2 linked regions of the Rattus norvegicus genome follow. The protein of the gene in region 1 purifies or fractionates together with the protein of each later gene. This does not show direct contact. Links are inferred from orthologs where the notes say so. Each region holds a gene or a part of one and is shown on either strand. Other genes may lie near its edges.

What was found.
Region 2: the proteins of Arpc5l (region 1) and Actr3 purify together in Homo sapiens (affinity purification with mass spectrometry; 6 studies listed by BioGRID and IntAct, counting the BioPlex papers as one, with this or other methods). This does not show direct contact. The link is inferred for Rattus norvegicus from reciprocal best matches to the Homo sapiens genes ARPC5L and ACTR3.

Annotation. Positions count from the first base shown.
Region 1 is NC_086021.1:43,162,814-43,179,064, reverse strand, and holds Arpc5l (actin-related protein 2/3 complex subunit 5-like protein), read right to left. Parts: upstream 9,464-16,251; 5' UTR 9,405-9,463; coding exon 9,256-9,404; intron 9,044-9,255; exon of another isoform or gene 8,863-9,043; intron 8,817-8,862; exon of another isoform or gene 8,527-8,816; intron 5,820-8,526; exon of another isoform or gene 4,818-5,819; coding exon 4,745-4,817; intron 4,216-4,744; coding exon 4,039-4,215; intron 3,666-4,038; exon of another isoform or gene 2,652-3,665; coding exon 2,589-2,651; 3' UTR 1,841-2,588; downstream 1-1,840. Other genes in the region: Rpl35 (large ribosomal subunit protein uL29), read left to right, coding at 13,183-13,185, 13,430-13,566, 14,040-14,280. UniProt on the Homo sapiens protein: May function as component of the Arp2/3 complex which is involved in regulation of actin polymerization and together with an activating nucleation-promoting factor (NPF) mediates the formation of branched actin networks.
Region 2 is NC_086031.1:39,387,653-39,403,903, forward strand, and holds the start of Actr3 (actin-related protein 3), read right to left. Parts: upstream 8,858-16,251; 5' UTR 8,773-8,857; coding exon 8,729-8,772; intron 1-8,728. UniProt on the Homo sapiens protein: ATP-binding component of the Arp2/3 complex, a multiprotein complex that mediates actin polymerization upon stimulation by nucleation-promoting factor (NPF).

The sequences.
Region 1 (16,251 bases):
TTTAAAAAGGAAAATCAGAGCTTCAAGTCTTTCTAGTGCCAGGACACATTCCCCTTTGTAGTTTTTCTTGCCTTCTGTGGTACCTGCTCTCTGAAGCAGTAGTTTCTCCTGCTTTGCTCTAAATTCTCATATTACCACTGAGCCAATCATACTTAAGAACAACCTGCTGAATTCAACAGAAGCAGGCTGTCCCTCTCTACCCTCATTATTTCTAATGACACTACATTGATACGTAGCACCCAGGCAGCCCAGCTGGCTGCCACACTTGACAACACACAGATAGAAACTTATGTTCATTTTTACACTTGTTCTGGGTAAGCCACATCAGATCTTAAGGGAAGCCATTTGAGTTTAATGAAAGTTACATTAGCAAGTAAACTAGTAATTGGAGCTTGTAAAGTTACCATGTATCTAGGTGAATTTGTTCTTCAGCTTCAAGTCAACATATGTACGTACATGCGTATGTGTTATACAAAAACCCAAGTATTTGCAGCATTTGCCTTCTAAATCTAAATCGGGATGGCATTGCTTTGGCTGTGGCTCTTCTTTTTTTTTTTTTTTTTTTTTTTTTTTTTTTTGGTTCTTTTTTTCGGAGCTGGGGACCGAACCCAGGGCCTTGCGCTTCCTAGGTAAGCGCTCTACCACTGAGCTAAATCCCCAGCCCCGGCTGTGGCTCTTCTTACAGAAGTTTCCCTTTAGGGTGCCACTTCCCATTTAGTGGGACATGAAACCAGAGCCCCACTGTTGATTTTACAGAGGAAGAAGTAGCTTCTCCAAGTAGGATTACTTCCCTTCCTCCTGTCCCAGGTAAGAAATCCCAGAGGACTGAGCAGTCCAGGCAGCTGCAGTTCCAGCTGTGGAAGCCCTTTCTACACCTGAGGTTTCTCAGGCCCATGATCTGATGTGTCTGTCTGTCTCTGTCTCTGTCTCTGTCTCTGTCACACACACACACACACACACACACACACACACACACACACACACACACACACACCTCTGCCTGCCTGCAGGTTGCGGTGTGACTGTGGGGCCCACTTATTTAGAATGGCTTTCCTGCTGCATGTTGAGCTCCTCCAGTACTAGAAGAGTGCAGTAGCCATTCAAGTGGCTTCATGCACTTCTATAAACTTCGGTAAGAGACAGTGTGTAGCCCTTTATATATGAGCACTGGACTGTGATCTTACTACCAATGTAAATAGGAACAGTACTATCTAAAAACTGCTGTAGCAGAGTTATTTGTGGTGCAATACTTTTTGATTAAAGCTCTTCAAGATGCAACTACAGTGAGTTTTACTTGATAAAAGTTTGAGATGTGTTTATTTTGACCTGTCAAATCTTGTCTTTGGGTTTGTTTGTTTTGGTTTTTTTTTTTTTTTTTTTTTTTTTTTTTTTTTTTTTGAAACAGGCTTTCTCTGCATAGCCCTGGCTTTCCTAGAACTCATTCTGTAGACCAGGCTGGCCTCAAACTCAGATCCACCTGCCTCCCAAGTGCTGAGATTCAGCTTTGTACTGACTATCATATTTCAACGACTACAGATGTTTCTTTCAAAAGGAAGCAAGCTCCTCAGATTAAAGGTGAATAAATATGATTTAATGGCCCCGTGGGCTAGTTTTACCTCTCAAGCATGAGTGGTTCTACAGAGGATCTAGGACGGGCAGGGCCGGTGCACTTGAGCCAGCATTTAAGCTGCAGTTGTGATGCTCAGGAGCACTTGCTTTAGGGCTCATAGCTGACTGCCATTATTGGGGTTTAGAACAGACCCTACATCAGGAGACAGTGACCAGAACTTGCCCAGGCTACATCTGTAATCACACAAACGGATGACTTTTGAAGCCTCAATCATTAAAGGTTTGGCACTTTATTAAATAAGCTCCAAAATTACATACAAATCAAAAGAGTAAGAAAAATAAACACTCAGCAAAATGTCTCTCGGTAGCATCCAGCACCACTGCAGTTAAAGTATGGCATAGCTGTGGTATCACCATGCTCGCTTTCCCCGTCCCCAAGGATGGCAGGACAGGGACATCAGCTTTCCAAACCAAACTGTCATCATTCATTGCTATCCCTTTCTTTACCATTTAACATACAGAGAACACACTTCAATGAATAGACTAATAAGCCAAGAGCTTTATTGATGCAGCAGGCACTTTACAATGAACCCAAGAGAGCCTGCCTTCTCTGAGAAGACAGGATGTCTGTACAAACTCTCATCAGGTTTTTTCCACTTCAGAACCCAAGCTCTCCTTTTCACCACAGCCCTTGGGTCTGCACCTGCCCAAATAGTCCCTCCCCATTCCAAACAGACAGTGCTCACAGGTACACCTCACATAATCTGGCCAGTCAGCCAGATAGTCAAGTGTTGGTTCTGTGTTACTCTGTAGACAAAGGCAGACACTCTGGTCCTGCAAAGAATTTAGGAATCAATAAGACAATTTCTCCCTCCACCTCAAAAGTAAAATACATTCCAGCAGATGTGTCCTGAAGTATTTAGTTGGGAGTTCTAGGAAGATGGTCCATTGTCAGTCCCTTCTTCACTAGCCTGGGCATCCAAAATTCTTCTCAAGGTAACAGGATTCTTTTTTTTTTTTTAAACAGTCTTTCTTGCTGTAAGAACTCTTATAATGGAGCCTAGTCCTCCAACAGCTAAAGCCTGTGGAGACAGGAAAAGGAAACACGTCAAATGGTACCTGACTGGCCAGAAGGGAGCTTCACTCACCTGGAGATGAGGACACATATTCCCAGACCTCAATCCCACCATGTCACAGGCTTGCTGAGAGAGATCAAGTTCTAGGGAGAGCCCTGTCTTAGAGCCAAGGGTCCCAAAAGCTTACAGCTCTTGAAGCAATAAAACTGGCTTGGGATCACTGTCCCCAAGCATCCAACAAAGCCTGAGTTTCCCTGTAACATGCTCTGCTTCTACCTGCCAGCACCTGCCTATCCCTGGAAACACATGGCAGCCCATAGAGAACTACCTACTGACAGGGTGACATCAAAAGCACCTCACAGGGTTGAAAAGGCCTAACCGTCTCACCACCAACAGCAATTCCTGAACCCAAGCAAAGATGAAGCTTAAAAAGTCAGCACCCCAACAGGGCCAGAAGCCACAGCCCAACACTTTGCTGGAAACTGACCTACCAGTAAAAACAGCATTCTTAAAAACTCAGCGCTGCCAAGGGATATAGTTCAATACAAGATCACTTGCCTAACACATACCAGAACCCCAGTTCTGTCTCTACCACAGGAAAAATATCTCAGGCTGGAGATGTACTTCGGTTGGTGGAATATCCTCTCAGCAAGCATTAAGACCAGGATTCCATCCCCAGCACCATGTAAAATTCAGTATGGTATTATATGCCTGCAATCTCTATCTACATTAAGATTAAAAGTTTAAAGTCATCCCCAATTTAAAAACAAATTTGTGGCCAACCTGAGCTACATGAGACTTTATCTCATGCTGAACCACTGACAAGAACTGTGTTCATCAGTCTGGAACCCATAAGTGCTGGGTGTATTTACTGAAGTGTTACAGGGCTGCAGGTGGTGTGCAGCTGACAGACAGGACAAAAGTTTGACACATGCCTTGGTCCTCTATCCTTCAAGTAAAGGACAAAAAAAATTTTTTTGCTTCCAGTGAATGAAAGCTATAATAAATGACTCCAATTTCTGCCAACTGCTCCTTCTGGTAGGGAGACTGGGCCTGCAGTTTTAAGATGTCTTCAAAAACTCCTTTTCAGCAGCTCTCTTCCACAAGCAAAAGAGACATAATGAGGCACCAAGCCCCATCCTACCTCACCATACCACCTGCCTCTGTCCTATATCAAGGGTAGTTGGTCCTGCCTAGCCTAAAAGTCCACAGGTAAAAAGCAAAAATATGACTGTGAGTGTTAGAAGATCCTCACTAGGCGCTTGCAGGGTAAGGTGAACATTCAGTGTCAAAGTTTAGACCCACCAGACCATCCAGCGTCTGTTCTGAGTCTGGCCTCCTAGTGTGAACCCTGGGGGAAGTGCAAGCTACAATGGAACAATGCAGTCCGTACCTTTTCATGCCACTGGAGTAACACTGCACTGCTATTTTCTGTGGGCTTCTCAAACCCTTTATAAATGTACTTCATTAGCAAGTCAATGCCATTCCTGTCCAGTGACTGCACAGCCTGCTCAATCTCGCTGCTCTTGAAGTTTGTGAGTACTTTCAGGACTATACCCTGGGCTCGTTCCTACAAAGGAAGAAAAAAGTGAGTAAGGCCAGGAGCTGCAATCCTAACACGACAGAAACCAATAGACAAAACATGCCAGAAACACCAACCCTTTTTAATTCAACCCAGCTACATCGGTGAGATAAAACATCTTTGGCTTTAAATTTCACTTATTTTTACAAATAAGTGATTCCACTTACTGTGGAAAGAACAAGTGATTTACTATAGGTAATATGACTTTATATGATGTCAGGGCTTGAACCCAGGACCATACATATGCTAGGCAAGCCCTCTACCCACTGAGCTTAGCCCAGTCTCAAGCATTACTACTTTTGATACATCAACAAAGCCTTACACTTTACAGATTACAAAGTTATCAAGCTACCTACTGCACCAGTATCTGAGAAATAGCAAGTGGTTTCGGTGAAAAGGGAACGCCAAGTAGCAGCACACTCCCAGTGATGCAGTTACTGTCCAGACGCCAGGGAGTTGAAATTGCTGCTAAGGACACGAAGTCCTGGTCCTGACAGCTGCAGCACAACCTCTTTACCTTCACAGCTTGATTCTTGGTGTTGATTGGAGAGTTCCGCAAGGCTGCATGGAATGCCCGAAGCATGTCCCCTGTGCATCAAAGCCAGTTAAGGATGGCTAGGCTCAAAAATGTCCATGCTCTCATTAATGACCTCACTCCACAGACAGCTCAAGAACAGTTACAGGGATCTTATCCATACCACCCACTATCTCCTGCTGGCCTCTTGCAGGCAGAGGCTGCTATTGTTTTGACTTTTCCTGAGTCACAGGAAGGAGTAGATGACACCTCTGCCAACCTGCAAGCTCTTCCTGAAATATTTCCCTAAAGCTTCCTCCTCAAGAAACTGCTCTCTTTTGTGTTAGAATTTAATAGAGCCTGAAAGGAAGAGTATTAGCTTAGGACCCCCAAGACTGAGTTCTCAGCACAAAGATTTATTTGCCTCAGAGGGCAGAGAATAAGAGACAAACATAGGAGAGAGAAGATGAGAGAGAAGGGGAAAGAAGCCAGGGAAAGGGAGCAAAGGTTTGTCCCAGAGAACAAGGGCTGTCTCTGGATAGAGACAACAGATGGGATACATAGGAAAATGGTGGTTTATAAAGGTAAAATGGGCCAGGCAGTGGTGGTGCATGTTTTTAATCCCCGGAGAGGTAAGTGGATTGCTGAGTTTGAGGCCAGCCTGGTTTACAGTGACTTCCAGAGCAGTCAAGATTATACAAAGAAACCCTCCAAAAATAAAAATAAAGGTATAAATGGGAAACCCCATGTTAGGTTGAGGTGTTTCATTTTAACTTGGCATGTTAATTAGGTGAGCCAAAGGGGGCTTTTGATTGCTGGACTTCAGTACTTTGATAGCTGGGGCCTTGGTATTCAGCCTCAAAAATAGGAAGTAGCCAAATAAGGCCAAATAAAATTTAGGGGCTAGCTTCAGGAATGCAAACTGTTTTTAGCAAGGGCAAGGCCTGCCAGAGCCATGCTTGCCAGAGTCCCTTCAGAGCCGACTTGCACATCCTTAGTGCTAGGCACTGTCAGCTCTACAGGATCTTCATGGCAACTCCTGCACAAGTCGACTGCAAGGAGCTCTCACTCTCTCATCCTAAAAGGGAAGAGAAACAAACACATCTTAATAGTTCTGTGTTGTTTTCAAAGCAGGATTTCCCTGTATGCACCAGTCTGTCCTGGAGCTCATCTGTAGACCTTGACTTCAGAGATCCACCTGCCTCTACCTCCTGAGTGCTAAGAATAAATGTGTGCACCACTACCACCACCAGGCTAGACATAAACACATTCTCACTCCGTCTTTTATCAAACTGAAATCAAAAGAAATCAAGTATGTCAAGTATACCTTGCAGGCTAGGCCTAGTAGTTCATGTCTTTAAATCTCAGCACTCAGGCCAATTCATAGCCAGCCAGAGCTACAAGGTTAAAACCCGTCTCAAGGTGGGAAGGGGATTGTCTATCTTGCAATTCAGCATGGCATCACTTTGGCCCACAAAATGAGCCATTTGCTCCCTTTCCCCACAAACCTTAGATAGAATCCTAATTTCACATTCACTGCTGAGTTCTGAATAACCAGCACACAAAAGAAAATTGCAATCTAGGTTATGTCCCCAAAGGTTACACCTATTTTAAACTGAATTACATCAGCCAACTTTCATTTCCTCATATGAAAGACTGGCTTAAGCCAAAAAGCTTCAAAAATAGAACAAGGAATGACTCTGCCCAATCAGGTCTTTACTTTTGTCCATGCAGCAATGCCCATGTGTGAACAGCTAGCCTCTGGTGCAAACCTGAATTCCCAGCTTCCCCAGTGAGTGCCATCTTGAAAAGCTAGTCTGTACCACCAGGCAAGTCACTCCCTCACCATGTTGGAATGCACCTACCTTACAGGGTAGACAGATGCCCCTACTCTTTATCTTTAGTTTTGGATTCCTTTTTCCTCAGACAAACAAGGACTAGTCCTGATAAAGCCACTGATAACCCTCCACCCCATAACTTTTCTAACTTGGTATCCCCAGGCAATAAGCAGGTCCCATAAACCTAACAGTACATGGGGACTAACAGTCATTTTATTCACAAAATAGATAGGGAAGGGCAGAAATGATACAATTAGTCTGTAAGGATGAAAACATTAGACTCGGTACTGCAGCTTGCCAAGCAACCACAGACAACCAAAGGCCCACAAATGCTGGGTAGAATGGGGAGCAGAGAGGCACCTCTACAATCACACAATGTTTACTAAACTGGCCTCCATACCCAGATGGCTGCCAATAATTTCAGAGAACAGGCTATGGTAACAGAAGAACCCTATAGACCATTCTCAGACATGGCCCTAGAGCAATTTAGCAACCTCCCTGGTCTCTACCCTAAAGTTTCCAGTAATACCCCAAAACTGTAATAATCAAAATATCACCAAACATTGCCAGATTTCCTTGGGGTGGGGTGAAAAAAACTACAAAATCACTCAAAACCACTGTTCTACAGTCCTACTTGGGAAGCTGTTTCCCAAGAAAGAAAATGAGCTACAGTGGTACTTTAAAACTGCTGGAGTGGAGGAAAAATTCTCCCTGGAGGTCTTGGACCCAGGACCAGATGCAGTCACATTTCACCTTATTCTAAAAACCCTCCAGGACAAGAGCCTGACTTCTACCCTAAAGACAATGAAATTGAGTCAGAGGGGAAATTACCTGCCCAAGGTCACAAAGCTACATTCAGAGCTGACCTTCAAATCCAAGCCCTTTCTACCATCCCTTGCCCCTACTACAGCCTGGACCCAAGTTTTGGAGGATATCTGGTGTGTGTTCAGTTATGCTCCCGTTGAAGCGGTAAGACCAACACAGTTGTCTCTATCGTTTAAGAAGAGTGCTGGGGTTGAGAGGGTATGTGGTCAGCAGCAGTTAAAACAGGTTAGACTCTGTCTGTCCATGTAAGCACACAGTGGCTTTCTATTCCCACATTCTGCTCTTCCACAATGACAATTCCCAGCACAGCCCTGAGACCGCCACCTGCAAACATCCCCCAAATCTCTCTGCTATTCTCCCTTTAGACTCACATGAGGTTCTATAGACTGAATGCAATGATTGTCACCTGACAGGGACTCAATGATCCTTCTCCCTACCTGGGCCTAACATCCTGCTAGGGTTTCACTTCTAATCTGCTAGCCTCTCTTCTCCCAATACCAAGAGGTACTCTCTCCATGGTAACAAGGCTTCTGACACTGCCATGAGTGTAGAAGCCATCTCCTCTATGAGCTAAGCCAGTGCCTCTAAGCTACCTCCAAAAACAGAAGAAAAAGAAAAGAAAAAACCGTCAGGGCCTTCAATAAGTCCCAGCATCAATACCAAGGCAGCAGCTGACAGATCCCAGCCTCTTCATCAATATACTTAGGATTCTGGCCCAAATACATTGCCTTGTCAACAGTGACTGCACATAAACCAGTCTTCCCTCTAGGGGCCTTCTCATGACCCAATTTTAACCAACTTAATGGTGCAGGAAATACCAGTTTGAAATATCCACATTTGAAAAACACATTCCTGTTCAGTCTAAAAGGGTTGTTTTCAAGCTACATTAGAGGAGCACTACAGGACTCCTCCCAAAAGCTGTACACCTGACTTCCCAGGTTGAGTCAACTAAACCTGATTTATATACAGCAAGAGCTTTCAACCCTATCCTGGCAAGTACGGGGGAGGGGTACACACTTCCTGTCAAGCTATTTGAATAAAGAAAAAAATCTTCCTGTGAGAATAAATCAGTTTCCTGTGGTGCTCCAACTGCTAAGAGACCAAGCCAGCTGTGACAATCACCTCTATTTTTACTCTTCTGTTATAAATGCTTGTTTTCTGTGGCCACCAGCAGTCATTTTCAGTCGCAGGGAGCCACTTTTACACTTGACACTGTATGGTGTATTTTAGCTCTGAATCACTAGCTTTTTCCACGCTTTCTGCACAAGACGGCTAATGGCAGAGTCGCATTACTTGTTGAATGTACTCGGCCCATAAAGGCCCAAACCCCAACCTGCTGTGGTAAGTGGAGACAGGCGAGAAAAGGTAGCAGGCAATACCACACCTGTGGGATGGTCCTAAAGCTGCACCTCCCCCACCTCCGCCCTACAGTCAGTCTTCCTCCAACCATCCACCCACCTATTTTCGTGCTGGGCTGCAATCGGGCCCAAGAAAGCCAGTTAGACAAGCGCAGGTGGCCCTGGTTGCCCGATGAATCAAAGGTGGCTCACCTCGGTCCCTCTTGAGGACCAGCACCCGGGAATGACCCCGCTTACTACAAGGAGGGATAAAGGGATACCAAGGCCGATGCACAGTCACCCTGAAGGATGCAGAGCAAGGCCGAGAGTGAGACGAGCTCCTGGGCCGTGCTGCTGAGAAGGCGTGAGGCCACCAACGACGGACCCGGGGAGCCTGGGGCTGGCAGGAGCCCGGAGGGGGAGGGGGGAGGGGCGGAAGACCGGAGGACCGGGACTGGGGCTGGGGTGATCAGGGTGCGAAGGCCAAGCCGGGCCGCCACGCTGGGAAGGATATTGCCGCAGGAGCCCGTCTACCTCGCAGGGGTCGGGGCCTGGCTCGCCCGACGCCGCCGCCGCCTCTTCGTGCTCGTCTACGAATTTGTTCTCGTCAAATTCGTCGATATCCACTCGGCGGAAGCGTGAGGACAGTGTGTTCCGGGCCATGGCGGGAGCGCGGCGGCCGCCCAGCCGCCTAGGCTTCGCTCCGTACCGGCTCCCTCCGCACCGGCTCCGCTTGGGGGCGGGAAGCGGCCGCCGGGCACCTCCTCCCCTCCTCCGCGCGCAGCCGCCGTCGCCCGCCCACTTCCAGGATGCACCGGAACCGGAAACTCTTGTGGGCAGGGCTGCGCTGCAGGACTGTGGAAAGCTGGTGTAGTGCTGTCGGAGGTTGCAGGCGTAACTCTGTCGTCCCAGAAGCCGGACTGCAGTGCAAGGACATCTTCCGCCTCTGTCCGCTCCGGAGGAAGAAGTTTATGAGCTGATGGAGATGAGTGGTAGTGAACCGCAGTGCCGGAGTCTCTTAAACACTAACCGCATTGACCCACAAGGGACTTCTTTGTTAAAACTAAACGGCTCTAAAGGCGTTAATGTATAACCCGGGGCTGGCAGGACGCTTGGTAACAACTTTACTTGAGGATGTACCGACCCCTGCGAGCGTTCCAGAAAATAAAGATGACTCATGGCCACCTGTACTCCTAACTGAAGAGGCGCATTTTAGGAGGCGAAAACTACAGAATTCCCATAATTCGATGGGAGGAAGGTGGCTTCTAGGACGGACGCTTGGGATGCTGGTTTCTCTTTATTTCAACCGTAGGCTAAAATGAATCCTTTTTTTTGTAATTATACGAAAGCTATTATATTTTCACCTAATAGAACGCGAACAAAAATCAGGTGAAACATGGTTTTGCTTTACATAGTTCTCCTTTAACTTCAAATCAAAAACTTCCAGGCTGATGCACCCTAACCTTGGGATGCTAAAGGCAAGCTCCCATGGGGGCAAGTACACGCTGAATAAAGACTCAGATCCTGAATGTAGTCCTGCCTCATACCTAAGAAGTAATAGGGGCGCAAGTTAATCAGAAGATAGCAGGAATTCATATCCCCAGAACAACTTTATTATTTTTCTTAAATATTTTGTCTTCAAGTATTTTTGAGCACCACCTGGGTGTATTGCCTGCTGGAGGCCAGGAAAGGACGTGGGATCCTTTTGGAACTGGGATTACACAGATGGTTACTAGCCACCATGTCTTATGGTTATTGGGAATGGAACCCCAGGTCCTCTGTAAAAGCAGTAAGTGCTTTTAACTGCCCAGCCATCACTCCAGTCCCTCCCTTAGAACATCTTGGTCAGAAGGAACTTAATACCAGAAATACTGGTTTGACAGGTAAATAGCCTCAAATAAACTAATGAATGAAATAATGTTCTAGCTTGTGTTCATGGATGTTCATCAGGCAAAAGGGATTTTTGTTTTGTTTGAGACAGGGTTTCTCTGTTTTACCCTGGCTGTCTTGGACCTTGCTCTGTAGACCAGACTGACCTCAAACTCTGAAGATCCACCTACCTCTGCCTCCCAAGTGCTGGGATTAAAGGCATGTACTACCAGTGGCTGGCAGATAGGATTTTAAATCATGATATGAAATTTGATGTGGTGGTACACTCCCTTAATACTGATTCTCCGGATTAAGCCAAGAGGATCAACCATCTATGTGCATTTAGTGAGTCCCTGCCTCAGAACAAGTCCCAGGCTGGAGAGCTCCTGCTGCACACAGCCAGTAATGTGGCACATGCCTCTTATCCCAGCACTTAGGAAGCAATGGCAAGAGGTTCTTGTGAGTTCTAGATAGTTTGGTCTACATAGTTCCAGATCAGCCAAGGCTACACAGTGAAACTGTCTCAAAATTAAAAAAAAAAAACAAACAAAAAACTTGCTACTCCTAGAGAAGACCTAGGTTCAGTTCCCAGTTCCCAGCATCTACATAGCAGCTCTACCTCCAGGGTGATCCAGTCACGTCTGTTGGCACTGCATGTGCCATGTAAAAATAAATTACCTATAAGTTTTTGTCTTCAAATATGAGGATGTAACCCCAATACACTGGGAATTAAAAATACATTGTGAATCCTGGGTTTAATCCTAGCACCACAAAAAATTTCCAGAAATATGTATAATCATAACTCTAGTAGAATCCTGATCATCTGGTAAGTTGTATCTTTAGACTTCCATTTAAAACTAATCCACAGGGTTGGGGATTTAGCTCAGTGGTAGAGCACTTGCCTAGCAAGAGCAAGGCCCTGGGTTCGGTCCCCAGCTCCCCGAAAAAAAAAAAAAAAGGATAAAACTAATCCACACTCTGCTCATTTCCTCTTATCCCACTTACAAAAGGCTTATTAATTCATTCTATCCAAGCAGGACCCACATCCTGGGCCTAGAGAGCATTAAACCCTCAGAGACCTTCAAGACTGGCTCTGGAAACAGGCACACAAACACATGGCTTAACTCATTTTGGTACGTAAGAGCACTTAGGATACAAGGTTAGGCTGCTACTCTTGGGGTGGGTGGTGACTAAAAAAATGTTCATTACAGTACCCTGAGTCCCTGGTCGGCTATCAGCATCATGTCTTGAACAACAGCTGAGAAACTGATGGGAAAAGGGCAGCTGCAAGAGCTTGGCAAAGAAAAGGGCTCTGATTGGTCAGTTTGGTCATTTATTACTGAAACCTAACATCTAGTCTGCTTTGCTCTGATCTACATGCTGGTGGTCTGTCTGGGACTGTGGGTAAAGGGCTATGTGCTCTTTAACCATGTTAATACCAACTGATACTTTCCTCGATCTTTACCTATCAGGTCTTAGCTGGGAGCTTCGAAAGTTTTGTTTAGTTCCTCTAACCCTCAAAAAAATACACTTAACAGAGACGCGAAGGGACTCGCCAAGATCAACTAGTACTAGCAATAAAGCAAGGCTCTGATTTTGTTTCGGAGTTTTTATTTACTCATATAACAGCTGCCGGGGACTGGACACAGCTTTGTGCAAGCCAGGCAAACACTACCACGGAACCAAACTCAGCACGTCTTGGAATCCTTCATACAATCAGGGTATGAAGGAGGCCTGAACTCCGGATCCTCCTTTTCCACTGCCTGGGCGCTGGAGTCACAAGACTGATTCCATGCCCAGACCTAAAGCAATAATCGGAAATGCCAAAAAATCTGGGGATGAGATTTGTACTACGTCTCCATCAGTTTTTGCTGGAGTTTGACTCTATTGTGACCCTTGCCAGGTGGTGTCGAACTTTCGATGCCAAACTTGGGTACGAAACAAGCCCAGGGTATATATAGAGGCCTTGTACTAAAAAAAAAAAAAAAAAAAAGATAGCGAAATGGTTCCGTAGAACCTGACCATCTGCATTCGAGCGCCGAACGGTGGAAGAAAACAAACTCCCACAGGTTGTTTTCTAACTTCCAAACATGCTAGTTGGCTCGCTCTCTCGCACTCGCACGGGGCATTGTGGTAAACGCCTGTACTTTAAGCATTAGGAAGGGATTTAAGGTGAGACCCTGTCTGAAACTCACATCTCAAGCCCTCCGCTCCCTGACACGACCCGCGGCTAGCTCAGACCCGCACAGACCAGGGAACTTCAGGCTTCCCGAAAATGCAAGTTAACGGAAGAACTGCAGCCTTCACGGCGCTATCTTCAGCCAGCCAGGAGCTGCTCATCCGGAGACTCAGTTTCCCCAGCTGCGTTGCTTAGAGACCAGCCAACCTCAGTACCGCAGAATTCCCCGGAAGCGGAGGGCACCACTGACGCGACTGCGCACAGGCAGAAAGGGCCTCCCACGCCGCAACGCTATTGGCTGCGCTCGGCACCAGTGGCTATAGTGGCGGAAGTCGGCCCCGCCCCTTCCTCTTTCTCTCGAACCGGGCGGCCTCATCCGCGAACAGCGCAGCAATGGTGAGGCAAAGGGAATCCGGTGCCATCGGGCGCCGGGAACACGTGGGGACAGCGGCACGGGGTGCGGGGCGGGCGTGGGGGACTCAGGGAGCCGCAGGGCCTGCGAATCTGTATGATTGTGCCTGGTTCGGGCCGGCTCTGACCGCCTACCCTTGCTTGCGCCGCGGCCACGGTCCCTCCTTGGTCGGCCGCGAAGGAAGCGAGAGCTCCCGCTCAGTGACCCACAGAGACGCTTCTCATGCAGGCCAAGATTAAGGCTCGGGACCTGCGCGGCAAGAAGAAGGAGGAGCTGTTGAAACAACTGGATGATCTGAAGGTGGAACTGTCCCAGCTTCGCGTGGCCAAAGTGACAGGCGGCGCCGCGTCCAAGCTCTCCAAGATGTAAGTGGTCCTTGAGGCCCTCGCTGGGGCTTTCCCTGCCTTAGTGCCTGCGTCTTTTCCCCCCAATTGTCCTTGGCGAAGAACTGGGTGAGAGAGTAGGGCCTTCCTGAAAAGGCCATGGTGGTGCCCCCTCACATGGGTTGTAGTGAGACTGGACCAGGGGAGGCTTGCAAGAGACAAAATATGTGCTGAGACCATGTGTTCCAGTCACGGACGTGATCTGTCATCACCATGACCAAAATCAACTGTTGTCGGCCTGAACCTTCAATTTGTGATTACTTAACACTTGAAGGCATGGCCTCAGTTTTTGGCCTGAGTGTAAAGGTCTTTCCTCGTTGCCGAATCTGCGTTAAGTCCCCACGTGTACCTCTTGACAAACCTGTCCTTACCTCTGGGGTTTTTACCTCCTGGGTGATAGGAGGGACTTGAGTTGTACGTGCCTGCCTGATCTTCACTGCCGTTTATTTTTATAGACGAGTCGTACGCAAATCCATCGCCCGTGTCCTCACTGTCATTAATCAGACTCAAAAGGAAAACCTCAGGAAATTCTACAAGGTGAGCACTGGGAGACTGGGCCCTCTGGCTGAGTTTGCACAGTTACCAGCTTTCCGGACTGACATGGATTCTTGGTGTCAGAGGGTCAGAAGGGAGGGTGGACTGGGCGCTAGCTTTGGGCTCAGCTGTGTGGTAGATGAAACTGGGACCCTAGCCTGAGGTGAAGCTAGCTGTTTAGTGTGTCTCACTGTCTCAGTATGTCTGTCTCACAGCCAAGCACCTTCTGTTCCAAGACTTGGAGGTTGGGTTACCCATGGACACCTACAGTTGGTAGACAGGGACCCCCCCCCCCCAAGTTTCTCTTCAGAACCGTATCGTGAGGACATTAAGAGTATTGCTGGGTGGTTGCAAGATGTTTGTCATAACTGTTAGTGCTTTCAGATTAACGTGTTTTTACTAGGAATCGACTCCTGTAGTTAGCTAGTCTCCAGAAGGATTGGGGTGGGGAGCCATGTCATTTTAAGATAATCCCACTTAATTGAAGCCATCTGGTGGTGTCTTGAATTACATCTCTGCAAATTTTACCTAATGTTGGGGTTTGGCATGTCAGAAAGTTGTCTGTCTGTGGTGTGACTCAACCGCCCAGGAGGGACATTTTGGATTAGACACGTCTGAAGTACAGTTTCTTAATTTCGGAGATGCTAGAGCCAAGATACCTATCACTCGGTACTGATGTGTGGGGACCTTACCTCACCCCTGAGCAGTGGAACTTACCTTGAACTTTTTTGTGCTTCATTGCTAGTGCTGACACATGTGGCTTTTCAGCAGTGTGTCTGTGTGTCTGTCCGGAGACATCAGTGTGTAAACCTGCACTGAACTACCTCCAGTCCACAAAGAACCAGGGTGGGCTCTGGGTTTTTGCTTGCTTTTACACCAGGTAATCTAGAACTCACAGAGGCCCCTCTGCCTGCCTCTCTAGCTGCTGGAGTTAAAGGCACCGTGCTGTGTGGACACTTAGACTTGATCTTTGCCATCTGTTCACACTGTTGGAGAATGAACAGGACATAGGTGTGTTTGGCTGCTCTGTGGAGAGAACTCTAAGTGGATAAGTGACGTTGACATGACTGAAAGCCTGCCTGGTGTGGCTCCTCACCTTATCCTGTAGAGCTTTCTAGGGTCCTCTGTCCACCTGCAGGAGCTTGGTGCATGGGGATGTGAACCCATTGTGCCTGCCCCTTTGCAGGCAGGAGTAGGCACTCCTAGGAAGCCCAGTTACACATTTTCAGCAGGCCGCTGAGCTTGTTTTGGAGGCTGCTGCCTCTTGAAATTCTTGGTAGCGCTGCTTCTCCTTATCATGTAAGGATCTGACCCACAGGACCTGGTCCCTGAGGGAACTAAGGGACTGTCTTGCTTAGAACACCCGGGAAGGGCTAGGAGATAGAGGAAAGTGAGAGCTCCCTTAACAGCTCAGGGTGACTTTGACCAAGCCTTCTGTGGTCGGTGTTACCTAGAGCATTGATGAGCCATGCCTGGTGGGTCAGCCAGGCAGTAGCTACACAGAGCCTGTGTGTGTGGAGTGCCCTTTCCATTGTGCTGTGACTTTCTACTTAGTCACTAGGTGATGCATAGGAAAACTGAAGCCTAGCCCCCTCTTGGCCCTTGTAGTCTTGAAATTGGGGAGCTTGGTGTGCAAATTTTAGGCCTACCACCCTCTGGTACTTTACTGACAGCCCCCAGCTGTCTCAGTGCCCTGCCATTTGCTCAGAGAAGTCCAACTTTGTGTCCTGTGTGCTCACCTGCTTCCACATCTTCCCAGGAGCCCCCAGTGCTCAGGCTCACCCTGTCATTTCTGTCCCAGGGAAAGAAGTACAAGCCCCTGGACCTGCGACCCAAGAAGACAAGAGCCATGCGCCGCCGGCTCACCAAGCATGAAGAGAAGCTGAAGACCAAGAAGCAGCAGCGGAAGGAGCGGCTGTACCCACTGCGCAAGTACGCAGTCAAGGCCTGAGACGACGACAATAACAATAAAGTCCAAAACTGACGAGCTCTCTGCTTCCTGTTTGACACTGGCCGCCCAGGGTCCAGGGGGTGAGGTTAGGTGATCGCTTGCCTACAGCAGGTGACAACCACCTTACGGGATAGGCTAGGTAGTCCCTGCCTTGGAGATCTGGTGGCTTAGTTACCTTAGGC
Region 2 (16,251 bases), on another chromosome or scaffold:
ATTAACTTCCCAGTTATGCCAGTTGCCATAAAGCTTGATTAAATATAAATCTTATACTCCCAGTCTCATTCATTTGAGTTAGCCAGGGATAGAGAAAAATCAACATTAAAATGCTTTTACAATACTAGATTTAATAGTTCTAAAGATAATTATTTTCCAAGGATGGATGCTTAAGAATTCTCTTTAAAACTAGATTAAAAATTTAACCACTTACTGAATACAGTATATTCCTGAACAGTTTCTGGAAGGATTGCACCCTGGGGCTCAAACTCTAGATCAGAGGTTCTCAACACGACCCCTTTGGAGGCCAAAGGACCCTTTCACAGGGGTCACATATCAACAGCTATCTTGCATATCAGATATTTTCAATTCCTAACAATAGTAAAATTACACAGTTATGATGAAGTAGTAACGAAGTAATTTTATGGTCAGGTCACCACCACAACAAGGGGAACTATATCAAAGAGAGGTAGCAATAGGAAAGTTGAGAACCACTGCTCTAGATCTACTCAATACCTCAGGATCTTTACCTTTAAAATGTAAATACACAAAATGTATATACGTCTGTAAGGTTTCTGAAAGAGGACTAGCAATCTCAAAAACAAACTTACAAAGGACCTTGAAAAAGCGGATTTCCACAACCCATTCAACATCTGTGGTTACCTGAATGAAGTAGAATGGTGCTAACAGGAGGTGTGGCCTTGTTGGAGGCGTTGTCACTAGGGACAGGTCTGTGGCTTCAGACCTACTAACAGGTAATGCATGCTTGCTCTCCCTACTACATAACTCCATTCAGTGCAGTGCTCAGCTCGATAATTAATTCTAAGTGAATCATTAGGTACTTCACTCAAATCTTTAAAAAAAAAATTACAATTTGTCTTAGTCAGGGTTTCTATTCCTGCACAAAACATGACTAAGAGGCAAGTTGGGTAGGAAGGGGTTTATACAGCTTACACGTCCACATTGCTGTTTATCACCAAAGGAAGTCAGGACAAGAACTCACACAGGGCAGAACTTGGAAGCAGAAGCTAATCAGAGGCCATGGAAGGGTGATACTTACTGACTTGCTTCCCCTGTCTTGCTCAGCTTGCTTTTTAATCCAGAACCACCAGCCCAGGGATGGCACCACCCACAATGGGCTAGGCCCTCCACTCTTGATCATTATGCCTTAGAGCTGGATCCCAGGGAGGCATTTCCAAAAGGGAGGCTCCTCTCTCTGTGATAACTCCAGCTTGTGTCAAGTTGACACAGAAAACCATCCAAATACACAATTTCACTTAATTTATGAAAGTAACACAAAGTAAATGAATTCTTGAAGAAAAAAAAAAGCTTACAAGACACATAATAATTTCTAAACTTTAAACAAGCAAGTATTTGTTCTCTGGTTTCAACTAATACCAAAAACAAAGTTTACATTTTCACAGTTTAAAAATCAAGCCTAAATATAAGGTCTTTGTATTCTAAATCTCTCTTCTTAAAAACCCTTTATTTATACTTAACACTGTGTAGCTTGCTATAAGGTAGTAACTGAAATAAATTATCTTCTAAAAAGAAAACAAAAGCATTTAGGAAGAAAATGAAGGAATGTTCTGCATCAGCACATCTCTTGAGTGTTCAGGAACCTGGACGAAGAAGACACACAGTACACAAACTCACTGCCACTCCTCTACTGGTTTCAAAGAACTGGGATGAAAAGGCTAGTAAGCTGAAATTAAGGCATGGATCAAGAATGATTTGGGAGAAAAACTGAAACAACAACAAGTCATTAACATTTCACAAAACACCTCTTAAGAACATAAGAATGTCATCTATCATTTTTGCTCCAGTGATATTATGAAATGTCATTTTTGTGTCTTAGGATCTAAAGGCCCACATAGCTATACAACCAAATACAAAGTATATCATCACCTTTATTATAAAGAACCAAATCTATAACAGTAACATCACCTATATTACACTGCCTAACTCATGAATAGTTAAGGGCGTGGTGGGTGAGAGTGCATTTGGTAGTATTGTTAGCATTTAACTGTTTGTTCTTGCTTCTTTCTGCATAAGCCTATTATACACAGGTAGTGTCATTATAACCCTAACAAGTTCCAATAGAGTTACACACACTGAATGCTTTTATTAATTAGAGGAACTCTGTTGCAGGAAATGTTGCTAGAAGCTACATTGTAGCCATTTCACACATCTGCCTCCAGGCTAACATTTTAACCATTGTCACTTGTTGGGGAGTGGGATTTAGCACAACTGTAAAGATATTCCCCTCCTCTTAGAAAACAGGACTAAATAGAATGATGACTCACAAGCCACATGTGCTGGCTCTCTGGCTCCCATCATGACCTTCCAAAAGCTGTTTCACACTGTGTATTAAAGAAGTACTGATACTCAATCTCTCTGTTCTTTTCTCTTTGAATTCTCATTTCATTAGCTTCAGTCTACAAACTGCTACCATTTACTTCTGAATGTCTGACTTAAGGAAGCACCTGTATTTCTCATTCTTCAAGGACATACATGGCCAGCTACAGATAGCATTACAAATACAACTATTCTAATTCTACTGGTTCTTTTGTTGTGGAATTTTTTTTAACATTGATTTTAGTGTGTGCTGTCAGGCTAGGTACAAGTGCCTTCACCTACAGAACCATCTCTCTGTCTCCAAATTTAAAGATTCTTAAAATTAATTCCTAGGCAGAAGAGACTGTCCAGTAGATAGAGGCTTTTCATTCCTAGGGTCCACATGGTGGAAGAAGAAAACCTCCTTCTACTTCAAAGTTGTCCTCTGATCTCTATATTCACACCCCCAAAAATAAATGTTAAAACAAAACAAACAAACATGCAAAAACCTAACTCCTATATTATCCTAATCAATCAAGGTCACAATCTTGAAATCCTCATTCTTCTAGCTACATTCCTAATTCCAAATCCTAGCAGTACATCCTTCCATTCTCTTAGAGAAGCAAAAACCCACTCTGACTGCACCCAGAACTACAGCAGGCAGGCCAAGGTCTGTGTGAGATAAGAAAATAAGCACAAAACATGATATGATGTTCTTTTTCCTTAAAACCCTTTAATTCAAAAAATAATAAGAGGGAGCTAACTGATGATTATAATTGCAACAAACCATGATAAAAGTAAGGTAGGCAATTACAATTGCTAAATCATAAGTGAGAAAAGTAAAAGCTCCTGGACTCCAAGTGTCCAAAGCACTTCTATGTCAAAGGTCCTTCTAGCGCAGAGCTTGAATTAAGTTCTAAACACTTGACCAGAGTCCTTGCAAGCCACACAAAAACAGCATGCAACTGTGAAAGGGAAGGTACAGACAAAAGCAGCAGTCTTCTAAACTTCTACCTTCCACTCCATCCCTATCACCAGTAGCCAACTGCAAAATTGTACACTACTATATAATATCTACCAACAAAGCTGTTGTTGGGGCTGCTTTAGAATCATCTAGGAAATAGGGCATACTGGTTCATACTTGCAATCCCCACTCTTAGACGACTGAGATGGGAAGACTGCCCTAAGTTGGGCCACATAAGCTCCTGCCTGGCTGAGTTTTAGTGAGACTTGGTCTCAACAAACAAGGATAGAATCATCTAGGAAGCCCATTGGAACACACAGCGGTAGTCCCAATCCTTAAGAATCCACACACTGTGTATAGAGTATCTCTGATGCAGTTTTTTAAAACCATACTAACTAGGCTAGGCGTGGCAGTGCAAGCCCAGCACATTAGTGTTTGCTCAAGAGGTGAAGACAGAAATGCAAGGCCACCCTGGGCTACATGGAACTCATCTAGGAATCAAAAAAATAAAATAAAGATCAAAAACAAAGGCATATCTTAATTCCTGTTCACGTCCATTCACTGTGAAAAACAGGAGACTATTCAACACAGATCGGAGTTGCCGCTGTACACCCAGTCCTGTCCCTGTCCCTCTTTCTTAGATGCAGTGCAGTGAGTGATCTAAGAGCTGCGCTTTCAGCATTGTTATTACTCGGAATTTGGGGTCCCTATAAACTAGAACTCTTTTGCAACCAAAATTTTGTGGAAATATAAAACCTGGTACACAAGTATTGGATGAACATTAGTTCATAGTGTAAAATATAAAGTCACATTTTGTTATCAAGCAGCCTAAAACTCAAAAAGCAGGCAAGCAGCCTCACTTCCCATCAGCACTCTGCACAAACACACTTTTCTTTCCTTCCTTTTGTAAAATACTCTCCTGTGCAGCTACCCAGCTCCTTGAAAAGACTAAAATCTGACCTTCATTACAGCTTGCTTGACTTCCTGACTACAATCACTACTGCCCATAAAACCTGGAAAACAGCTATTACTATCTGAAAAGCACCCATTTAACGTTTGATTAGCTGCCAGTATTAGCTGGTTGTGGTGGCTCACAACAGTAAACCCAACACTCAAGAACCTGAGGGAGGAGAATCATTGGAAGCTCAAGGGCAGTTGGAGTCACACAGTGATTTCCACTACTCAACACTAAAATGAACATTCGCCAAGTAAAGATGTGCGGACAGAGGGGTATACTGTGGGACACACTGTGACACACTAGAGCTTTTACTACAGAATGTTTTCTATGCTTTTTGTTTATTTTGTGTGGGAGGGGGGAGGGTTTCTGAGGGGAGGCTGCAAGGGTGGAGAGCAGATACGGGGGACCGGAGATGAGTGGGAGTGGAGTGTAGGATGTGAAACCCATAACCTTAAATTTTTTTAAATTAGGATTAAAATTCATGAAGGCAGAATGTATCAGATAAGTATAAGTCCAAGAGTGGTTTACTGGGAAGTATAAAGTAAACTTCGACCATCCTCAAGTAACTAGTGAATAAATTAATCCCTCTCCAACTCAAAATACTGAAATTATCAAAAACTGTAGTGGTTGGTCCTCCAGGCTCCAGGTTGTACCCCAGGGAAGTGGTTTAACCTGGAACTTAAGTTCCTGTCTACATAACACGAACAGCACTGCTTAAGGCGAAGAGGAAGGTGAGGAGCTGATGCACGGCACTCGCCACAGGTGTTGCACATGGCTCTCACGAAATTCTATTTCCTGAGAACTTCTAAACCTGAGTCTTTTTTTTAAAGGAACAAGGAAATAGTCTAAAAATTCAAATCTTCAGGGAAAAAAATAAACCTCAAGAAAGACAAAAAAAAAAAAATTTCACCAGTTAATTGAATCGAATTCATAGGGTAGGATTATTTTTGCAATAGTACTGTAAGCAAGAATTAAGCTGGATTAATTTCACTAACAGAGTGATGTACAGTTTTCTGAAAGGAGGCTCAAGGAACCCTACAGGCCTAAATACAGAACTAAGTTCAAGCACCAAGTCCACCAGCTACTAACTAACTAACTTAAAAAAAAAAAAAAAAGCTGTCACAAGTTAAATAAGATAGAACAAGTTAAAATCCTGGCCATCAGGTTCACCAGTGGCCAGCCTTTCCACTCTAATCTTGAAAATAAAAATTCTAAACTGTGTTTAACAATAAACTTAAAGGTCACTAACAAAGCATGGCAGAGTCAGCATGCGATGCGTACTTCAACTGGACTTAGGACTTCGGCTTCCCAAAAGCAGCATGTCTGCTGCTCCAAACACAAGCTATCAACCAGAAGAATTGTAATGAATGTGTTATCAAGATAGTATGAATGCTCCTGCCTTCGATACTTCATAACACATTATGAAGAGAATCCAAGCAAGAATGTCAAGTTTCTCAAGTATGCCTTCATTCATCCATGGCTTCCACTGCTCTCAAACTCATCCTTGTCTTTAACTTCTAGGACCTGGCCACAGGATGTTATATAGATCTACTTTCACCAAAGCAAACAAAATGATTTGGGCTTACAGTTGGAAGACTGCTTTAAAAAAAAAAGGTAGATCTGAGAAATTCTGTAATGTATATAAATATATCCGAGGCTTGTAAACTAAGACTGTATATTAACTATTACTTAATCAGTGGAAATAAGCCACCAAAGCAGTTTCTGAGTAAAAACAAAACACATCGAGCAAAGAAAAGCCCTAATAGAAAAATGAGTGAAACAGGCAGACTGAAACTATCTTAGGATAACTTTATTACAGGAGCATTACATCCTTTTGAAGCTTTAAAACTTGCTTTTCTCGTTGGAGATGGCTCTCCAGCCTGTTTGACTGGGGTCTGAAGCAGGCCTTGTGCATGAGAATGAGGCACTTTTCCTAGCTACATTTCCAAGCCCTACATCTTTGTCTCTGAACAAGAACTTTATTCTACAATACTTGGCCAATAGGGACCAAAAAGGTATGTTGACCTGGTGATACAGATATGAAGGAAGTATTTCTTTCTTAATTCCTTAAGTATTTGAAAAATACTTCATGACCTCAACCTAGGTGGTGATGATGAATTATGCTGTAGGATTCTTAATTTAAAGTTCTAGAATTAAATCTCATGTGTCCTAACATTTACAGCTTGTAAGCCTGCCATCAAGTTTAACACACTACCACTTTTTGCCTAAATTCTTTAATGAAATGGGATGGACAACCTATAAATGGTCCACTTACTCTAGAAGAGTAATTGTGGAGACCTAAGAGGTGAGTGCATTGACTGGGGGAGGAGGGTGTACAAATTAAAGGGGTACATTTTGCATTTGGGAAACAGTTATTTCAGATGTAAAACTCCCTGCTAGTCATTTTTGGACATGCTATTTATCTTGGGCGCTGAGAAAGGACTTTTCTAATAAAGCTCAAGGTGAGAGTCTCTAAACTGCTGTCTAGTAGAGCCAACTGGTGGGATTGGCAGGGGAGAGGATGACACACCCAAAACCTTCAGAAGCAAAATAAAGAAAACTACAAATTGGGAAATTCAGACTGTGAGCAAAGGTAAAAACACTGAATAGAGAAAGTGACTTTAATCAGTTTCACCCATATCATAAATGAATATACAGCTAACCTCTCTTTGTAAGGTGAGATCAATATACAATATAGCAATGTAATGGTTTAGTAATTGAGATATTAGACAGAAATAGCCTAGGTATAAGTTGTATCACTTCTCCTGGTCACTCCAAATGTGTTTTTAATTCAAGGTTGCCCTTTCAGAAAAAAAGGTCACTTAAGGACAGCTAAGTTCAATGAGATACCAATTACTACTTATTCAAAAATAACCAAAACTGCATTTCAAAAGAGGAAAATAAATACATAAAAAGATTAAAGACGCATCCTCCTTAAGCTGCTACGGCATTATTTATACAGTGATCAATGACTATGTGGCTTTACTGACAGTGATTTCTAAAGCATGAAGCACTACATAGCACTATCTGTCACTTCAATAAAATACACTTGAAAAATCCTATTCACGCTAGCCAATTCTAATTTTTAAAATCCCTCTAACATCCAAGTACTCATCAATTAAACTACGAAAAGATAAACTTAAATATACATATATAAACACTTCAAGAGGGTGAGACCGGATTGAAAAAATCTAACTTTAATACGATGTCAACTAAGAAAATACATAGAAATTCCAAGGCTAAACTAGTGTTTTCCAAGAAATAAAAAATTAAGTGTTTTGTTGTTTCCGGCTGCCTAACAATTACATGTAAAGGCAGAGAGTTAAGATGGGAGGGATTTATACAAACTAACTAATGTCGTGGAAGAGGCATCCTTTAAATAACTGTGGTAGGGTGAATAAGAGGAAAAAGGTTGGCAACTGTCCTCAAAACCACTTATGTGTTTGGGGGATTCGAGATCAGACAGGCCTCTTCCTCCACCAAGTATTGCAACGTACAGCGTAAAAAATGTAGTCGTCTCTCTAGGTCACCACACAGAGCAAGTTCTAACTCTTGACTAGGTTCATTAATACAAACCTACAACTTTAAAAGTCACTTTAGCCAACCACACTACTATCAGAAACAATTGCTTTAATCAAACACATTCCTTTCTATCTCCTTTCAGCTTTCAAGACACAGTCACAAACCAAACTGAATGTTTAGGTTCCAGGGTGCGTCCCTTCTCCTCCCCATTATCTCCCTCCATGGACACAAGAACATTTTTTTTAGTTCAAACACACTGATACCTAGCACTCATAATCTACTCTTTATGCAACCTGCTTAATTTTGAAAGTTCTAATAAGACGTGTTAACGTTGGAGACGAAAAACTACCTTATAAGGCTATAAAAGACGGAAAGCAGGAAGCGGCTTTGACAAAACTAAGGAAGTTGCAGCGCGCTTGCTCACTAAGGGACTTTTTTTGAGGCAAGAGCAATAACCCCATGAGATCCTCCTCGCTGGAACTGACTTGGTTCAATGGGTAGTGGGAGATGGCTAAGAATGGGTGTGGGCGGAAAAGAGGCGGCGCGTGGGTCCTCTGCAAAAGCCCCCATTCTAGCTTCCCATTTTCACAGCCCGGTTCTCCGCTCTCCCCACCCACACGCCCTAGAGATTGAGGGTTGTCACCGCGATCTTGCAAAACCCGCAAGGAGCGCTTCTCTTTTTTCCCTTGGTCCTACGCCTGGAGATTCCCTGAGAGTCCCCTAGTTCACAGGCAGGAAGAGGAGAGATGGGAAAGGAAAGCCAGGTGGGCCAGACGGCCTTCCCAGAAGGGAAGGGCCTGAAAAGATCTTCGTCCCAGAAGGCTGAAGCGACCGAACCAGGGAGGCTCCCGGCACCACCCGTCGCCAGTCTGGCCGGCTCACCCCATTCATCTCCCTCCTCCGGCTGTCCCCAGACTCAGTTTCCCCACCCAGAAGACCCGCCGTACCCCGTGCCACAGTCCACCACACAGGCCGGCAGCCGTCCCGCCATCTTCCTCCTCGCCCGCCGCTGCCGTCCGTTCCGTGCTGCTAAGAGGCCGGGGATAGAGATGTGAGCTAGCTGACCATGCACTGGCCTGGGCCGCCCTCGGTCCTGAGGGAGGAAGGGAGGGAGCTGTGGGAAGCCCGAGCAGTAGCGAGTGAGCAGTAGGCTAGTACTTCCGCAAGCCCAGCAGGCTGGCCGGCCGGCAGGCTGTCCCCGCCCTGCCCCGCCGCGGCCTCCTCCTCCACCCCTCCGCTCTCGGCCCTCCTCCTCCTCCTCACTCCCGCCCCCACCCTACAACTTCTTCCCCTCACACTGCCTTTCCGCGGGTAGCCAAGATGGCCGCCGCTGCCGACGCCCCGGCCAGGCCAGGCCCCAGGCCGCGATCGCTCCCACTTCCGGTTCCGGGTGGGAGGGGCGAGTGCGCGCGCGCGCTGTAATGTGCGACCGCCGGGCCTCGGCTCCCTTCCAGATAACCAGAAACTCCACTTTGGGTTTTCAGATAGCTAGAAACCCAGTAGCCAAGCTAAGCATTAATGCTTTCCGAAGCGGCTGCACATGCGCAGTGGTGTGCAGCTGTGGGTCGAGGCTCCGGTTCCAACTTGCTAATATTCCACTTCACATTTTCTGGCCGGTGAAAGCCGAGAAGTCAGGCAGTTACTTAATTATGAAGCTGGCTTTTGGTAGTGGTGTGTGTGTGTGTTTCTTCTCTGCTAACTTGAGGAATGAACAGAAGGCTTCTCTACTGTGGGGAAACGTGGTCAGCAGCATGCCCCTATGATCGCTCTAGGTGTGCAGTCAGAAAAGAGATGAACAAAGGTTTGTGTCCTGAGATTTACGTCAGTTATACTATTACATTGTAGTTTCAAAGCTCACCCAAATGGTGGGCCTCTGCCTTTAAGAAGGCAAGGATCCAAGACGTTAGGTTAAACAGTAACAACAAACCCACCTTCTCCAGGGTTTGGGGATTCCTCTGTGTCATCAAGGAAGGCAAGTGTTGGATCAGGTAAAGGTGCTTGCACTCACTAACCTGAGTTTGATCCCTGGAGGTGCACACGCTGGAAGGAATGAAAAGACCCCCACAAGTTGTTCTTTGAGTTTGCACACGTTCTCCCCCTCACACGAAAATGTAAAACAATAAAAATAAAAAAATAAGCTTCCCAGAGGTTCTACATAGCCTGCACAGATGGCCTTTATTTGGGTTTTGGGGTGATGATAAACTTCCTCCAAGAGTAGTGAGATTGTCTCAGGCCTTTAAGAAAGGCCAGCCTCCCAGAGGTTGTGTTCTACATTATAGACTCTGTGCAGGTACCTGGCCTCTATTCAGGTTGGAGTGATAATGGATTTCCTTCTGTGTAATACTGTTAGCTTGAAACTTTTTCTAGTAAAAAAAAAAAAAAAAAAAAAAGAAAGAAAAAGATATGTGTTTTTTACATTACAGACTTAAAAGGCAATACTTTTAAAAACTTGAATACATCAGAGTAATGTAGAAAGTGTAAAGTGCTTTGCTAGGTCATATCTCAGGGGATTATGCAAAAATCAATGTGCAGTAGAACCTGAGAATTTACTTTCTCATCAGCAGGAACCTGGAAAGTTAACAGCTTTCCTCCCCAACAGACTTGTCTTTTATTTATTCTTTAGCATTTCCATGCATGTAAACACTGTATCTTGACTGAATTTTCCCAGAACCCTCTCTCTAGCTCCCCTGGATATCCCAATGTATTCTTCCTCATCATTGTCCTTTTACTCCTCCTCCTTCCTTCATGCCCCCTCTGTTTTGTGTGTGTGTGTTTTGTTTTTTTTTTTTATTTAGTTTTATGTAATCCACTGCATCCCATCAGTCTGGTCTGTTGAAACACTGACTGATCTTGGCTTGATCTTAAGGTGACGGTAACTGCAATGTCATACCTGCAAAATCTGTGTCACGTCCAGAAGACAGCATCTTCTGGTTCTTCTATTCTCCCCACCCCCTCCTCCATGCTCCCTCAGCTTTGTGTAGTGGTGAAGGTCGATACAGATGGACCATATAAGGCTGAGCATTCAGTAGTCACTTAGACCTCAGCACTCAGGCCAGGTTTGTATCTGCTTTAACTGCTAACTAATGCAAAGAGAAACTTCTCCACCCAAGGACAGCTCCAGTCTCTGTGTAGAAATATCAATGTTTAGAAGGTCTATTGAGTAGGGCAACAGGTTTCCCTATACAGCCTGTGACCTCCTAAGCCCTGGGCCTTTTGGACAGGTTTAGCATACTAGACATAAATTCCTTTCTGAAGAGCAGGCCTCAGAACTCATCCAGAAGTGTTTGGTCACCCCCGTTACCTCTGTGCCATACTGCACTGGAGAACATATTTTGAACAGGCTAATCTAGGTTTGCTAATATAAGACAATAATAATACATTAAGAAAGGATGTGTTTATTCAATACAGAATATTATGTTATCAGGTGGCAAACTGACCCGAGGGGGTAAAATATTGACTTTCCACTTATTATTGTTAATAATTTGACAGAAAAATATTTCTCACCTGCTCTGTATGGCAGAGACTATACTGACCCTTAATATAGTGGGGCAAAGTATAGATAAGAGGTGTGATCTCAGAGTTCTGCCCATGAGTAGAAAAACAGATTGTATTAGGAATCACAAAAAATGCTGAGAACTGTGAGGAACGGGTGAAGGGTTGGAAAACAGCGGAGCAGTCACACTTGAACAGCATAAGTGGTTCGGCCACAGATCTTAAGAAACAGAGGAAAGGAGGGAGGGAGGCCCCCAAGAAGAGAAAATGCAAGTATCTGACCTGAGGCAGCACTGGGGGAGGGGAGTCTAACTTCTTCCCCTCAGTGGTTAAAATGAAGACAGCCAAAGAGGATGTGATGAAAACGGAACCCTGAGAAAGAGGATGGTGCAGACATCAGTAGAGACTTCTAAGCATATTCAAGCTTATCCCAAAGCAACTTATCCAAAGAACTAGGAAAAAAAGGTTTGGCTGTGAGAGCTGAACTTTCTGGAAAGAGTAGCATCTTATATGGAACTTTCTGGAAGGCCGGTTAACTAATTAGAACTTCACTGACTGAGAGTTTGGAATGTAACAGGTCCAGGACCTAATTACTTTGTCCATGTGTCCTAACATGCTGCAACTAACAGGTGAAACCTTTTAGAATAGATTAACGTAATAGATCACGGGGTTCCATGAACCAAAAAAGGGTATGGGTGTCACTGGGACATTATCTGAGGCCTCACAGATATTTCCTCCACTTTGCTGAAAGCCACATCTCTAATGTTTCCACCAATATGTGTGTGTGTGTGTGTAAGAAAATCCTAATTTATGACTTATTTTGTTCTGTTACTATAAAAACATCCTGAGACTGTTACTAACTTGCAACACAAATTTAATGGTCATTGAAGTCTGTGTTCCTGGGCCATAGTTACTCATATTTGGCTCCAAGATAAACTCTAGTATGCCTTCTGAGGTGAGAGTCATATGTTTTGACTTGTCATCTGCTTTGTTTAGAGCTGATACAGTGGCATGGGGGGGGGGGTACATTGTGTTCTATGGTTCACAGGTAGAAAGCAGAAGGACCAGCCTTTCTTTGGGACCTGATATGTACAGAAGGACAGCAGCATCAGTTACTATGGAGTGAGTGTAGTCACAGCTGCTCATCTGAAGTAGCCCTAAGGGAAAGGTGTGAGATGTTGTCTTCACAGCAGTCCAGCAAGAAGAGTGGGTCTTCTTTCAGATGCCTCGTTGCTGGTTTTCCCCCATACATTTTAGAAGATGCTAAACGGTTTTCCCATGACTGGTTTTCTTCAGGGTCATGGGGGGGGGGGGTATGGAGAGAGCACTTTGGACAGAAGTGAGTCAAGCTGTGACTCAGTGTAAGTGGACAGGCTGTATTCAGCAGTTAAAGGTAGTTAGGTCGGATTGAAAAAAAATCCTACCAAAGTTCTCCTAAGTGTGGCATTAAGGGACTTCGAACTGTCAACAAGTGGAGCTGAGACTTGAGGTCCCAAAAATTACTTTCCAATATTCTAGTCTTGGGCAATTATCAAGAAGTAGTTACAACAAAGGCCAGAAGCTTTTAGCTTTTTGTTTGCTTGTTGTTCTGTTTGTTTATGCAATGTCTAAAGGAGACCACACTGTGTAGCCAAGGATTACCCTGAATCTATGATCTTCCTTGTCCACACTTCACAACTGCTATGATTACAGGTGTGTGCCTCAATGCCCCGATTATGTGCAGGTGAGGTTTAAATCCAGGCTTCACGCCTGTTTGACAAACACACTGCCAGCTGGACTACATCCCAACCCAAGGATCAGAAACTTCCAGTTCTGGTTTGGTTTGTGATGGGCGATGTGGGCCACCAAGAAGATGTGGCAACACATAGCACCCACACCGAACAGAAGGCAGTTGCTATGTGGGAATGCAAGCCTCATGTTACCAGAGACTTCCTCGCAAGAGAAATTTGAAATCTGTGTTTCTTTGTTAAGTGCTGTTGTTTGAGTTTATCCTCCGAAGTGGATATGTTGGAAGCTAACCCCCAGGTAGTGATATGGAAAGGCAGATGTTAAAGGTTGTTTTGAGGGCTCTGCCCTCATGAATAATTAATACTGTTGTCTTCGAGTTGGTTTCTGTATTTCATTTTAAAGCTTTATCTATTATTCATCTTTTTTTGTTTTATATATATATATACCTCTGTGTATGTGTACCACATGAGGTATCCACAGAGGCCAGAAGAGGTTGGCAGATTCCCTGGAACTGGAATTACAGGCAGTTGTGAACCATGCAATAATACGGTTGCTGCAAACTGAACTTGGGTCCCCTGCAAGAGCAGCAAATGCTTTTAAACATTCAGCCACGTCTCCAGCCCTCTTCATTTCTTTTCAATGCAATGTATTTTATTTATTTGATCGTCTCTACCCACAGTTCCTCATACCTTTCCTCCCTGGCGCCTCCAAACAGTGCCTCCTTATCTTCTGTCCCTTTTTCTCTTATTTGATTTTTGTAACCCTCTGAGTTTAATCAGTGCTCCCTGATGGCATGTTAACATAACTTGCTGGCTTGATCTTGTGCACGTAACCACGGTGTCGGTGAGTTCATGGGATGTCCAGAAGATGCTATTTCCCAGCATTCTTCTCATCTTCGAGACTTCACAGTCTTTCTACTCCGTCATCCAAAATGTTCCCCGAGCCTTAGGGAAGGGACAGAGTTAATGCAACAATCCAAATTAAGGGAAGCACTCAACAGTCACTTAGTCTCAACACTTGACCCTTTAGGAGTCTCTGCATCGGCCAGCTAACCCTGCCTCCCATGCTGTACCTAATGAACAGACTAAGTGGGGTTCCAGGTGGTGGCCATAACAGAGAAGCCTACCTGATCCCAGCTTCATTGTATTTGCCTGCCCTCTGCTCATTCCCTCAACTCCTCTACCCAGAGTTCTGAGCCCCAAGCCTGGTAGGACGAAGCAGATAAGTAATCTTCTGCTCTTAAAAAAAAGTTTGGGTATTCTAGTATAGCTACTAAAAAAAAAAAAAATAGACAAATGCAGTGTTCTATTTTTCTTTCTGTGGCTGTGATAGAACATTCCAACCAAAAGCAAGTTGGAGAGGAAAGGGTATATATGACTTACACTTCCAGGCCACGATCCATTTCTGAGGGGAGTCAGGACAGAAATTCAAGGCAGGAACTTTGAAACAGGAACCACAGAGCACATTTGCTGGCTTGCTTTCTGACTCATGCTCAGCTGCCTTTCACCAGCCTAGGAATGGCCTCTCACAGTGGACCCACTCACGTGCATAAATTAACCACCAAGACACTGAGCCAAGACCTGCCCGAAGGACAGTCAGGTGTAGGTAACTCCTATGACAAGGCTTTCCTTTTTGAAGAGTTTAGGTTATCTGGAATGACAGTTAAAGCTAGCCAGGACAGATCATCAATAAATCTTTCTTAGCGACCTTATAACTGGCCAGTGTGCTACCATTTTGTACTTTCCACTACAGAGGCCTCTGTGGTTTAGTTGTATGTGGCCTCCACGTATGAAAAAGCTTTGACAGGAAGAGGGGAAGGGCAGAAAGATGCTTCAGCAAGCAAAGGCATCTGACAAGCCTGATCACCTGAGTTAGATCCCTGGAACCCACACAACGGAAGGAGATAACTGATTTTTACATATGTACACACACACACACACACACACACACACACACACACACACACACACACACACACACAGGGAGAGAGAGAGAGAGAGAGAGAGAGAGAGAGAGAGTAAAGTAAACGTAAATACTTTTCAAAGACAAGAGGAAACAGCTAACATTCTGTTTCATATAGCTAAGCTTGTCCTGTGCCTGCAAAGGCAGTAACTGTTGGAAATGTTTAGAAGCTCCCAGCGCTCGCTAGAGATGTTATTTATGCTTGTTTTTCATACTCTGTCTACCCAAACATTTTGCTCGCTTAGGATCTCCTTTACTTCCTGTTTGCTGCTGGCAAAGTTGGTCAGCCTCCCTCAGCTGCACAGAGAACTTCCCATATACTTCCTGCCAAACTGTTTCTGACCACCCCGTTTACATATACACCCCTTCTGCCCCACGCTTCTCCAGAGACAGAGGCAGAGGGGTTCAGTCAAAAGATCCTGCAGAGACAACCACTAGAAGCAGAAGGAAAACAAAGGTGGGCTAATGGGGTTTACTTGATAACTCTGGGTTCACTGCTCACCCGAGACGCCCCAATTTCCTGTTAGCTTAGATCAACCAACTCTTAGCTCTTAGTAATTTCCAAGTCTGTTTGCCCACATTTCAAAGATCTTGTGCTCTCTTGTAAGTCCCCTCCAATTTAAGTTAACCCCAGCTGGTTCCCACAATCTATACAATTTAAGAACTGTAAGTGATATGGAAGTCCAAAGGAAAAAGTTGATTACAGAACAGTTAAATTTCACTGACTAGAAATCTTTTTAAGTTAAAGATTAGAAGAAAAAATAATGTGTGTGTATGTACTGGTGTGTGTGTGTGTGTGTGTGTGTGTGTGTGTGTGTGTGTGTGTACCAGAGATTGACATTGAGTATCTTCTATTGCTCTCGTTTATTTAGACAGTATCTCACTGAGCCTAGATCTAACGGGTTCTACTGTATTGACTGGCCAGTGAGCTCCAGTGCTGGAATAAGGGGATTATGGGTGTGAGCCGCTACACTCAGTCTTTTATTGTGGGGGATCCCCCACAATAAATAAAATAAAATACGCTGGGGATCCCCTAACTCAGGTCACCACCATGCACATGCAGCCAGCACTGGACTGAGTGCGCCTCTCCCTAGCCTAGGAAAACATAGCTGAAGTCACAGGAAAGTAGACACATTAAATACTGTGGAGAGTACTCATATTTTTCTTAGAAATTACTGTACATTAGTCATTAAAACTTAGAATTGGGGGAGGGGAGCTGGAAAGATGGCTCAGCAATTAGGTGTGCTAGCTGCTCTTCCAGAGGACCCAGGTTGTGTTCCCATCACCC